Regions from separate parts of the Mus musculus genome. Here all the other regions are reported to be linked to region 2. Evidence: microRNA targets listed by miRTarBase, many of them from high-throughput screens and not tested one by one. Region 2 holds a microRNA gene; each other region holds the end of a gene's coding sequence.

Region 1 (3,103 bases), not on the chromosome of region 2:
TGGGAACCGAGGGTGGAGTTACTGGCTTTAGGAGCCATTCTGACAACCAGGTAGAAGTGACCACCTGGTTCAGCCAAAGGAGGCCAAGGTGTATAATGGATCAGACTGTGAAGACCTCAAGAAACCAAGACTTGGCCAGAGTGCTTTGAGGCAGGGAGGACACAGGCCAGGGAGATATTATTAATCTGTGTGACAACTATACCTTTGGAGACCTTTCCTGAAGTCAGCCAAACTCAATATTATGGAAAGGGCCCAGGACAGGGGTGGGACATGCTCTGCAGGACCCTGGTTTCCCTCACTAGGACAGAAGGCACAGTGCCCCTCAGCAGGTTAACCTCCTGCCTAGAGCCCCATTTCTCCCCCTGGCCTCCATCTTTGTACTGCTTGGATGCTGTGACCTTCATCTTTCTTTCCCGTAGCAGCTCTCTGTGGAGGTCACTGTATCTAGCCAGGATGTCTGTTTGGCAGCGAAAGGCAGTTGGCTGGATTAGTGTCCCCTGGGACACTCCCCTTCCTGGTAGTAATGAGCCCCTCCCACCCTCCAGAGATATTAAATGTCACCCAGGGAGAGGAGACAAAGGACTTAGTGTGATTCATGCCATAATCCCAGAATTCCAGAGGCTGAGGCAGGAGGATAGTGAGTACCAAGGCTGGCCTGGGTTATTAGCAAGCCCTGGTTTACAAAATACAAGAAGGGGTATGGGTTCTGGCAGCTAGTTCAGTCAGCAAGCAAGCTCGAAGCTCCGCTGTTTGCAGCAGAGGAGGGGCCGGTGGGAATGGTAGTATGGGCTTACCCTTCTAGAACTGTGGAGGGAAGAAACAATTCCTAGGCCATGTGGCTGACCAGGCTAGCCCACATGGCCAGTTTTAGGGGAATGAGAGGACCTGCAGAGAATCAGTCTTTCTCACTTAATGTTCATGCATGAGCATGCACATTCGCGTGCGCACACACACACATTCGTGCAGGGGAAATGATAGCAACACTGCCTTGGGGCCAGTGTGTGAGGTTCTGCACCCCTCACATCCACTGCAGCTCAATCAGGCTAGCCTGCACTAACTGGCCCTTACAGGTGTCCCAATGGGAAGGCATACCCAGGAGCAGAGAGGGGGCCGAGAAAACAGTGGGGGAAGTGGAGAGGCTGGAATGGAGTATGGACCCTATCCTCCTTTTCCTTGTCTGGGAGAAGTTAGCAGCAGACTCATTGGAGCGGCTCCCCCTCCCCTTCCCAGGAGGCCAGGAAAACCTGCCTGGGCAGCATCTTGAATGGGGGAATTGTCCTGAGAGCTACCTGGCATAAGTACACAGATGTGAGGGCCCCCTTTCAGCCACTCCCCATCTTCCCCTCCCCTCACAGCCAATGCTGGCTCTCCCATTACCACCAAACCAACCCCAGCTATGGACATCCAGCCTAAGTTTGTGGGCACCTAACTGGGACCCCCCACCCACAGTCACCCGTGCCCCCTTATCCTTTTAAAGCAGTTCTAGGGCAGGACTATGGGCTACACGCTTGGCTTCTCTTATACAACCCCCTGCCAGAGCTAAGGAGACAGAGGAGGGGCAGAAGGTGTCTGCCCCACCCCGGAGGTGCCGGAGGCTCTTGGCAGGGGCAGCTGGAGCAGTTAGCACCAGCTGCCAGTGACTCACCTCCCACCAACCCAAACAAAACACCTTGGGGCTGAGAACCAACACCCAGCCCCTCCTCACACCATAATCCCAACCACCTGACCTGACCCTCCAAATCCACACTCCTAGGGGTCCCCTAGTCTCAGAAATCTGGTCAACCCCAGCTCCCAGTCACCCTCTGGACTGAGACATATCCCCCTTTTTTTTTTATTTATAAAAAAAAAAAAGTTTCTTTTTAAATATAATTTAAGAACCCCCTTCCAAGCACCGTTGTCTGCCTCTGTTGACCACCACCAACCTCCTGTCCCTTTTACAACATCACCCCCCTTCCCTCCACACAACACAGCTTGGGGGCACTTGGGGGGAGGAAAGGAAGAAGGAACTGTCTAAGGCTGTGGCATTTCCAAGGCACTGTTCTAGAACATATCGATGGGTCCTTGTTCCCAACAGGAGATAGTGGAACCAGGTGCCCTTTAACACACAAAATCTGGACAAGAAGGGGAGGGAGGGGGGAAGGAGGAAAAAATTAACAAAATAAAAAACAGTAAAACTTCAGAACCTTCAATATGAAGGCAGATGAGGGGAGGGGCATTTACAAGGGAAAAATGATTGCCTTTGGTGGTGACAGCAAGTCAGGACATCAAAACCCAATGATTACATCACCGGGTCCTGACAGCCCCTTCCTGCCTCCTGGGACGGCATTTTCCACTCCCAAGTTGGCAGGCTGGTCACCCTTTCTCTTTGGTCTGCAGGGACATGCCCGTTGAGGTGGAAGGCGCTTGGGGAGAGAGCCCTCTGGGAAGATGGGAGGTTAGAGACGTAGGGATGTTTCTTTGCCCAGTCTTGAGGGAAAGACTCACTCTGAGTTTGGGGTTCCCCGCCTGGAGGGCACATGTATGATCCCATATGGCACGGTTCCCCAAATCCTGGGTCTCTGACCCCCTCTGTTCAAAGTGCAATCCAATGGGAAGGCTGTGACGAGGGGGAGGGGCTCATCTTGTGAGTCCCCACCCAACTCTGCCCCCCGGAAAGAAGAATCTGCCACGGTGGTGAGTCCTTGGAGGTCAGAACTGCTGGGCTGGTCCCCCTGTCCCACCAGGGGCTCCTGGCTTAGCTTGGGACTTCATATGCTGCACACTGGCCAAGATTTTCTTCTGGTGTCCTGCCAGAGTGACTCCAATTCGGAGAAGGTCCCTGTGGAAAAACAGAAGGTTGGAGGAGTCCCGGGACCAGCCAAGCAGGGAGGCCACAGGAGGAGAAAGGCAAGAGTAATCACCAAACATTTACTGAGCGGCCTCCGTAGAAGAAGGAAAGAGAGAGTCCTCAGAGAGATTTTAGGGGGAAGAAGCTGCAGAGGTTGCCTTGGAGGAGAAAGAAATACAGACAGGGACCACACAGGTAAAGAACTAGGCCTTAAATTAGGGAGCACTTTGGCTCAGTGAAGATACTGAGGAGGGACCAGGAGACCTGCCTGGCCAG
Region 2 (3,000 bases):
CAAAACAATAAAGGAGATTGACACGAAGACTAGAGAGCCACGGCTGAAGTTCTTTGGCGGCATTCGAGTTCCAACAGCTATTGTCATTTGTACAGAGATGTTTTTCTCCAGATAACTCAAAATATCCTTACCCCTCAATTCTGTTATCATGACAGCAATAATATCTCCCGTGCCTGTAATGTAAAACAAATACACAGACTAAAGTGACATCTGAAATTCATAGACACATCAAATAAATATACACATATGCTCCATAGAGAAATTACCATAATTTTCACTAAGGTTTATAGATTCCAGTTCAACTGACATGAGGCTGCAGCTGTGTAAACTGACAGGCATGAGAACATGTACAGTGCTCCAAACAGGTAACGCATAAAGCAACTGTGGTGTTAACAATGCACAAACTGCCTTACCGGTGCATTAGAAGCACTGTGAAAGCAGCCACCTGTGACTAAATCAGGTTAAGTCTTCAGTAGAAAACCTTTCTATAGCAATCAATCTGGAAAGTTCTGACAGAGAAGCACTGTCATTTACAGTCTGAACAGGTGGTCCTTGCACTACTCATCCTCACACGCACTGCTGAGCAAGGACTGCTCTAAGAAACAGAAAGAAGGGTACTTCTTAGGGCACACACTTGGCTATGGAGTGACAAGTGCCGAACGGCAACATCTTTTACCAACAACCTTTGAAACTAACTTTGGTCTTCTGTCTACAGTAAAGCTCCTTCCAGGGCACTTCTGGAGCTCAAACGCAACAATTTTCCCACCCAGTTTGGAGCCAGCATCTCACATTGCCTCGGCTAGCCTCAGACTTGAGTTTTATGTTAGTTTTCCACCTTGTTTAACCATGCCCAGCGCACTCAAATCCTCTAGGCAGGCCCAAGTTTCAACTTTCTGGACTACTACCCATAATGATACCTAAAACCTTCAGTTCCTAAAAGCTGTTCAGAGTTCTGCCCACAGGCACAACTTTTATAAGTTAATTACAAGGATGGTTCAGTTGTGTTTTCAAGTCCTTTTCTCACATGGCTTCAAGGGCCTGTTTTAAGTCAGAGTGAGCAGCTACTCACCAAGGTCACTTTTGTGAGTATGAAGGAGGATTGTGCATCCAAACACAAAATACCCTCTCAAAACAGCAAGCAGAGACCCCAGACCTGACCTTTTGAAGGCTCTGTCAACAAATATTAGAAACACTTGTTTTGATTTCTTGTTACCTTTAGCAGTCAAGATGAGACACAACAGAAACTCAGTAACAGAAGTTTTGAAAAAAATATAGCTCAATGGAATATATATTTGCATAATACTGTATTCAAAACGGTTTATTCACTTTATTAGAGTAGTAGTTTACCAGTTTATTTTTGCTTAAAAAATCTATAAACAAAAAGGAGACAACAAAATTAAAACTAGCATTATTAAGTTAACATCTGCCTCTGGTGAGTGAGTTAAAAAGAATCATAAAAGAATGCTAAACCAGTTTAAATTTCCATTTAGAAACCTTAAGTTTGTGCTTTTACAATGTTGATCAACAGGCATGATCTGTGGTGTTAAGATACCAGGTATGGCTATAAAGTAACTGAGACGGATCCCACAAACGACATATGACAATCAGTCTCATTGCTTTATAATCACACCAAGTACAATTGGTTTTAGAAATCAGTTCTGAGGCTCCCTCTTGAAGACTCAAGCTGGAAGTGGGGAGAGCTGCACAGGTAGCCAAGGCAACCAATCCAGTAATTTCCTTAACCGAACACTAAATGGGCGCGTCAACTAATCTCAACAGGAAGCTGTTTGGGAAAGAAAAATTTAATTAGTTCAACACTTGTCAATATTCACTGTTAGGAGGACAAGAGTGAATAGATCTCACTGTAGCTTTATCATCCTAGCAAAAAGAGGAGACTGGGCAATGTTGCCAAAGGAGACTGAAAATGATCAAATAAAAAAGTACAGCAGCACATCTGATATTAGTGAAGGCAGTGATCTCTTACAGAAGGTGATGAAGCAAACTACAAACCCTCCTAGGAAAAAAGTTTCTTTCTCCCCAACATCTAGAGCTGGGCTGGGTTCAAAGAGCCTAACAAGATGGCTCAGACATTTACAAATGGGGATGGGACTAAAGAGATGGCTAAGAGCACTGGTTGATCTTGCAGAGGACGAGGTTTGGTTCCCAGCATCAATATGGCAGCTCATAACTACTGTAACTCCAATTCTAGAGGGAACAGACACTCTCTTCTGGCCTTCGAGGGCTCTGTACACATGGTGCACATAGACTCATGCAGGTATACACACACACACACACACACACACACACACAATAAAAAAGTAAATAAACCTTAAAAACAAAACAAAAAACTCTTGGGAGAGTTGGTGCAGATTCAGGAGGGATGATGACAACAGAGGAAACTTAACCCTCAGGATAAAACTAGGATTAGAGTAGCAGTAGCTGGTAGGAGAGAGGGGTTAATTAGACTGAAGTAATGGAAACATTAAACAGATACAAAGAATGTGACCAGATCACCCCTATGCCTGTGTTCTGAAACACCAAGACATGGCTTTGGAGTTCAACAATCATGCAGCTATGTGTTCCTTTTCTACTGCTGTGGTTAAACATCATAGCCAACATAACGTATACAAGGAGGGGCTTGTTTGGCTTATAGTTCCATCATGGTGGGGAAGAATGGCAGCAAACTGTAGGTAGGAACTGGATGCCAAGAACTCACACCTTTTTAAAAACACTGTTAATTTCAATTATGTGTTTATGTGTGTAGCTTTGTGCATGCAAGTTATAGTTGCCTGTGGAGACCAGGAGTCACAGACCCCCTGGAAGGGGGGATACGGGCAGTTGTGAGAGACCTGTTGTGGGTGCTGGGAATTGAACTCAGGTTCTCTCCATGAGCAGAAGAATGCCCTGGAAACCTCTGAGTCATCTCTCCAGTCTCACATCTTGAACCATAAGCACTAAGCTGAGAGAACAGCAGTAAATTTTGGGAATCTTTAAACTTTC
Region 3 (3,106 bases), not on the chromosome of region 2:
GAACCGTGATGTAGACAGTACAGACGGTAGCAGCAAAGTGTGTACACTGAGGTGTGGTGGAGACCCTGCAGTTAGTGAGGGAAAGAAGCATGTGGCCCCTGCAAGAAGTCAGCTCCGAGAAGCTGGAGGTCAGGTGGGAAATGGGAACAATACTGGAATAATCTATGTCATTAGTGTAGAGAGCAAAGCTGTGAGAGCGCTGGCAGCAGTCTGAGCAGAAGTGGCCAGTTTCCTCCCAGACAGCCCTGCATGGAGACAAGAGGTCAAGGTGGAGTTGGTAGGAGCTGGACTCACAAAGCCAGAGCTGCCCGGACATGATGCTGTCAGGTTTCAGGCCGTCTCAATTGCCAGAACCCTAAGCTAGAGGCCTGGGCAACACAAGCTTTTAGAATCTCCTCCCACACCTCGGTTCTACTTCTGCCTTTCCACTGACATCTGGTGGAGGGTGTAAGGAAAGAATTCTTGAACTCAAAGCCAAGAACCCACCTGTAGTGACACTCAGGTAGTCAGGGATGGGATGAGTAACCCCTTGAATGGCTGGGGACCAAGGGCCAGTGTGAGGAGTGGCCAGCCTGAGGCATTGTCAATGTCCCCTCATTAATCTTCACAAAGTATCCTTGGCCAAGGTCATGAAATTACCTTAAGACTTGGAAGGAGAGACAAAACAAAAGAAGCTGTGTGCTTAGTGTACAGTGTCTGCTCCCTCTGAGGGAGTAAATGTTCTGAACATCGGCCAGGCTCAGCTTGCTTTTCTTCCTCTCCTCCTCCTTTCTTACAGAATGGATGCAGGGTAACTTAAAAGGACTTACCATCTAATCTACTTCCTTGTCAATGTGCAACATTCAACATACTTCTATGTAGGAAAACAGAAGACAGCAGATGTAAGAATACACCTGTTTAACTTCCTACTTCCCACTGAGGGTAAACTCACCCAGGTAGAAACATGAAAAATTAGGACAAAAATCTATGTCTGAGTCTGTCTTAGCTGCCTTAGGAAAATGCCCTTTACACCCCAGCAGTCCCAGCGGCCAGCCACTGCCAGCAGCGGCTCTGCTTCTCTAAGTCTGAGCCTAGAGGCCAAGACACTTGCATGAGAACATGACTTCCTACTGAAAAAGACAATGCAGTACCACTGTGTCACACTGTGGTCTTCCACTTCCATGATCACGCCTTGGAGCAGCAGTTGCTCTTGCTTGCTGCAAGAGAGGCTTTGATCCTTGGACGTCATAGTCTGCTTTGGAAAGTGTCAGCTCCTAGCACCAAAGGGTTAATCTGAAGATCATCATTAATGAAGGAGAAAGATGAGGTTTGCATACATGTCCCCTCTCAGTGAGAAATGTTTGGGTTGGGAGACATGAATATGTACAGAAAAATAAAAGCTAGAGGTGTTTTGTTTTGTTGTTTTCCCTGATGGCTTGATTCAGTAATGAATGTACCTTGATAAGAATAAACACATCAGCTTCTTATCCTTTACTTCCTATTGTGTGAATACTTGTGATGTGTTCATTTTGCCGAGTAGAGTTCATTTCTCATCATCATTTGGGTCTCAGCTTTCTCCATTACTTTCTGCCAGACTATCCTCTCACATCCATCCCTTGGCACTGGGTAGTTGGGGATGCTCTCATTTCAGCTCCAAGGGGTTAAATCACAGCATCTCTTCTCCCAGAGATTCTAGCCAGATTCTAACCAACAGATACAGTCCCAGAGCCTTACCATTGTTTTTAACATAGGAGAAAAAGTGCATGATTCTAATGGGTGTGTACATTCCTTGCACATGGGTCAAAAGAAAACGCAGGCAATGATCTGTGAATTGGAGCTGCGCTTGCTAACATGACAACACAATTCTTACCACTAAAAAATAAATACTACTGTAATATAAACAAAACCATAAAGGACATTCAAGGTTTTAACATCTGAGAAAAAGCTAATTTACCTATAACTGAAAGTAAAAACTCCAAAACTGGTAAGGCAAACACCTGTTCACCTTGGTGTATAGATTTTGGCGACAGCAGGATCATTATACTGTCTACATTCTTCAGCCATCAGAGGTGATAAATATAAAGAAGGGAAAAAGGTTGCCAAGCCCAGGGGAAAATACTCTCTGGTACAAAGTAGATCCTAAGACTCTCTAGGGGACTCTGCACCGTCAGTACTTGGTTGAACAATGTCCATTTGCCCTTGAAACCTGGGCATCCATGGGTGGCACTGGGCTTCCTCCACAATAGCCAGCAGGATTTAAAAAAAAAAAATGTGTATCTCATTGGCCCTTCAGTCCTCTCAATGTTTCCTAAGATTTTCCAGCCAAATGTCAGTGATACACACTTCATGTGCTGGTCAGACATACACTGCTAAACTCTTACATACACACACCACCACCCTTCAACAATTGCTTGTTCAGAAATATAAACTAAATCTTCTTAGTCTAATTAGTTCTTGATTTATCTCCTAGAAAGTTAACAATGTACCTAGAATCAGTGTATCTCATTTAGCCTTCACTGCTAGGGAAAACCAAAAACCAAAAGATGACACTTGATGCACAAATGAACAATGGGCTCATGACTCCCAAAGATTGTGAAATTACTTCTGAAGGTTGCTATAATAGTAAGACAGTAGCAGCAACAGCATGAGACCTTAGACTGAGATACAATTTCATGCAAAAACAAAACTGGAGTGTCTGTGTATATGGTTTCATGTGAGTGAAAGGTGGTGAGGGTGAAGACCCTTGGCTGGTCAGGGATGTCAGAAGGTGCCCCTGCTAACTGTAAGAGCGAGGACTGGTAGAGATGTCCAGGAATCAGTCTCAGGCAAAGTCTAAGATGACAGTGTAGAAACAGACTGAAAGGAACTTATTCCCGTCCGCTTGCAGAGTAGGAGAACTGAGGGAAGTGTGGCCGCCGCTCGTTGTCCATGCCGTCCATGCCGTCGTCGTCATCTGTGGGCAGCAAACAGCGCTGTCATTTCTGTTTCTACTGTTACTCTGCCTACACTCAGAAACAGTACATCTCGTTAACTTCTCAGTAAAACTGAGTTTAAAGGACTGTGATTTCTATATACACATGGTCTGTCTACAAACAAAGAATATTATAAAACCATCTCTAAGAAATCA
Region 4 (3,106 bases), not on the chromosome of region 2:
TCCATAATTTAAGTTTTTAGAAACTCAGTTATCTTTAGCATGTGCTGGGGATTTTGTTTTCCAGGGAAGATGTGCCTCCTCCAAAGAGTCGGACATCCACTGCCAGGAGCTATATTGGCAGCAACCATTCCTCCCTGGGATCCATGTCCCCCTCTAACATGGAGGGGTATTCCAAGACGCAGTATAACCAAGTCCCCAGTGAAGACTTTGAACGTGCGCCTCAGAGCCCGACTCTGGCACCCGCTAAGGTAGCTGCCCCTAATCTCAGTCGAATGGGAGCGGTTCCTGTGATGATTCCTGCACAGAGCAAGGACGGGTCTATAGTATAGAACTCCGCACCTCTCTGTTCTGCTGTCCGTGGCTCGTTTCTTCTCTTGACATATCAACATTTATTCTATTCTAAATTTTGTTAACAGTAGCCCATATATATAATATATATGTGTGTGTATGTGTATATATACACATGTGTACACATATACGTATATGTACACATGTGTATATATGCATAATATATATGCATATATACGCACTTATATATGCATATATATATATGAAGAAGTTTATAAGAATCATACTCCATAAGATTTTTTTGGTTATTGTGAAACAATAAAGGCTTAAGAGTAATAGCATTGACCATCTGGAAAATTTGGGGTTTCTTACCAAGTTGATTTTAAGGCCCTTATCTTATATCTGAAGAAAGATATAGCACTTTGAATATGATGTCATGGGTGAAGAAATTTGTGAGTTTACACACATCCCAAGTTGATTCTTGAATCATCTGAAAATGATACTTCGTAGTTTCTACCATTATTTTCAGGATATCTGTCTCATTTATTGATGAACATCAGTATCTCTCAAATTGAAAAACAAATCCATGGAAAAACTGCTTAATGTATGAATTTGTTTTTATAGTCTGAGAATTCTAAGTGTATTTGGTTACCTGTAAAAGTAGGAGACATGACTGTTTTAGAAATGACTAGTTTTCTTTCTAAGTCATTCCTAAACATCTATGACACGATTTCTTTCCTGTCTTTTTTTCTTTTGTTGCTGTTTGGAGATAGGGCCTCAGTGTGTTCGTTGCCTAGGCTGGCCTCAAATCCTGATCCTTCTGCTCCCTGAATGCTGGGCTCTCAAGGCTGTATGGCTGTAGAACAGTTTCCTAAGCATTTAACCGGTACACTACAGAGGTAGCAGGAAGCAGGAAGCTTTAGTGCACTACAAAAGAAGCGTCCGCTACACAGAGCTGAAACCCTTGATGCTGCATGGGTCGGGGTAGGGGGAGGATCGATGAGGACAGTGTCTGTGCCTCGCTCGGGGCCTGTGGACTGCTGCAATCCTGAGCAGGCAGGGTGAGGGTGGCAGATTTATGGGTCTGTAGCTAAACACTGCCCTTCTACTGTAAGTGATGGTTTTGCAATTGGAAAGGAAGGAACAGAGGGAGGGAAGGGAGAGAGGGACAGAAGGAACGAAAGGAAGGAAGAAAGGAAAGAAAACTGTTAATTCACTTATCTGGATGAGAATTCTCAAATTACTGATTTTTAAATGTGTGTTTTTGTTTTGTGGCAGACCGTACTGCACATTTTATGTTGTAATCTAGGCTTTTGAGTTGTAGTACGGTTCCTGGAGGCTATTTTTTTCCTCTAAGAGTCAGTGAACAAAGAGATTTGAGGCAAGTTAAGTGTCTTCCCTGGTCCTGAATTCCAGACTTGAGCAATGTGCTTGCTGGCCCGTGGCCGCACCTGCCTCTCTCTAGCTGTCAGAAATCAAGTCTGAGTCTTAGTTTTGTGAAAGTGACTTACTCTTAAAAGAAATTTTAAAAGGAGTAAAGGGAATACTCCTACCTGCCAAATGTATTAAATATAGTTTTCGTAGGAAAAAAAAAGTGAATTTATTGTATATCCCTTAAGATTGTGAGGGAGTGTGTGTAGCGTGTATTGAGCCAGCATTTCCTTTATAGTAGATAAGGTCTGTAATAAAAGATTTCATTAACTGCAAAACCTTTCCCCTAGGGAATTGGTCCCTGCTAATCTCTTCAGGTGCTGTGCTGGTAAATGCTACATTATAAATTAATGTTGGCATGCATTTACGACTAAGCAGAATAATGTGTATACTTTTAAATGGTGAATTTAAACTGAATGTCCATGTAATGGATTCGTGTACAGTTTTACATATTTGGAAGCATTTTTTTTAAACTAGGTTTAAACCTCACGTAAAATCACTTTTTATATTTGTGTTGTCTTCATCTGTGCCTTTTTAGGTAAATTTAATTTCTACAATGACTTTCTGGTGCCTATGAGCTAGCTATCACCTACCTTGAAGGTGCTTAGAGGTGAAGGTACTGTTTTCAAAAGCACATCACTGTGGCTTTCTACCCTTAGAGTCCCCCTCTCGCCTTCTCTCCTCTGCTTTTCTTGATGTCACTTAAATAATACCACTGTTTATTAGGATTTAAAAGAAAGTCACACCCTCAGTACGCTTTGACCGTGCTTCTAGTTTATAACCATAGCCATGTTTGACTTTCAGATGTTTGGCATTTTTATAAGATATTACAAGAATAAACTGGAATGCAGCTTGTAATGGTTTCGAGAATGGTAATGAAGATTATGCTAGGTAGAAAACACTACAAAAGCAGATGTGTGGAATCTTTTCCTTTTCCTAGACTTTGTATTTATTTAAAGGCAAACAAAACCTAGAGTATCCCGCTATTTTTAGTCTAGATCTGTAGCAACTATAATCTGAAAGAGAAACTTGTTTAAAAAAAAAACAAACACTGTGAACCCCAACAGGCCTGGAGGATCAAGAATCAGAGACATAGTTGATTTTTTAGGCTTTGGCCTGCAGCGCTTCTCATTGTTAGCCTCAGTTTCCCCCAAAGGTCAGACAAGTACTAGCAATTTCCCAGACAACCTCACTGATTTTAGTCAACCAAGGAGCAAGTACTTGCTCTAGAATCAATGTTGGTAATGGTCAACAGCTCATCGGCCGTGCTGGCGCATCTTAACGTAGAGCCAGTGTGAGTTCAGGGCCAGCACTGTCTTCCCAGCAGACCTTTCTGATTCCGCGCTATACACGAGAGACTTATTAACCCATATTGTGATGTTCCAAG

The links. Region 2 holds the annotated microRNA mmu-miR-340-5p (UUAUAAAGCAAUGAGACUGAUU, at 1,603-1,624, opposite strand). A microRNA usually pairs through its seed, bases 2 to 8, with sites in the 3' UTR of a target mRNA and lowers its output. Matches are read on the target gene's strand: a 7mer-m8 pairs with bases 2 to 8, a 7mer-A1 pairs with bases 2 to 7 and ends in A, and an 8mer does both.
Region 1: miRTarBase lists Ephb4 as a target of mmu-miR-340-5p. Seed matches in the 3' UTR shown: 7mer-A1 at 1,836-1,842.
Region 3: miRTarBase lists Akt3 as a target of mmu-miR-340-5p. Seed matches in the 3' UTR shown: 7mer-m8 at 2,057-2,063.
Region 4: miRTarBase lists Cxadr as a target of mmu-miR-340-5p. Seed matches in the 3' UTR shown: 7mer-A1 at 560-566, 7mer-m8 at 1,950-1,956, 7mer-A1 at 2,494-2,500 and 7mer-A1 at 2,536-2,542.

Annotation. Positions count from the first base shown.
Region 1 is chr5:137,373,227-137,376,329 of GRCm38, reverse strand. Ephb4 (Eph receptor B4) reads right to left here. Exons shown (of 17, transcript NM_010144.6): 17 at 1,808-2,818. The coding sequence ends at 2,689. Among named protein-coding and RNA genes, the nearest start is that of Ephb4, 25 kb to the right of the region's middle.
Region 2 is chr11:50,068,344-50,071,343 of GRCm38, reverse strand. It overlaps Mir340 (microRNA 340), which reads right to left and starts at 1,642; the gene lies at 1,545-1,642. Rnf130 (ring finger protein 130) reads right to left here. Exons shown (of 9, transcript NM_021540.4): 3 at 1-173.
Region 3 is chr1:177,022,518-177,025,623 of GRCm38, forward strand. Akt3 (thymoma viral proto-oncogene 3) reads right to left here. Exons shown (of 13, transcript NM_011785.4): 13 at 1-2,932. The coding sequence ends at 2,847. Among named protein-coding and RNA genes, the nearest start is that of Gm15423, 83 kb to the left of the region's middle.
Region 4 is chr16:78,336,124-78,339,229 of GRCm38, forward strand. Cxadr (coxsackie virus and adenovirus receptor) reads left to right here. Exons shown (of 7, transcript NM_001025192.3): 7 at 65-3,106. The coding sequence ends at 329. Among named protein-coding and RNA genes, the nearest start is that of Cxadr, 36 kb to the left of the region's middle.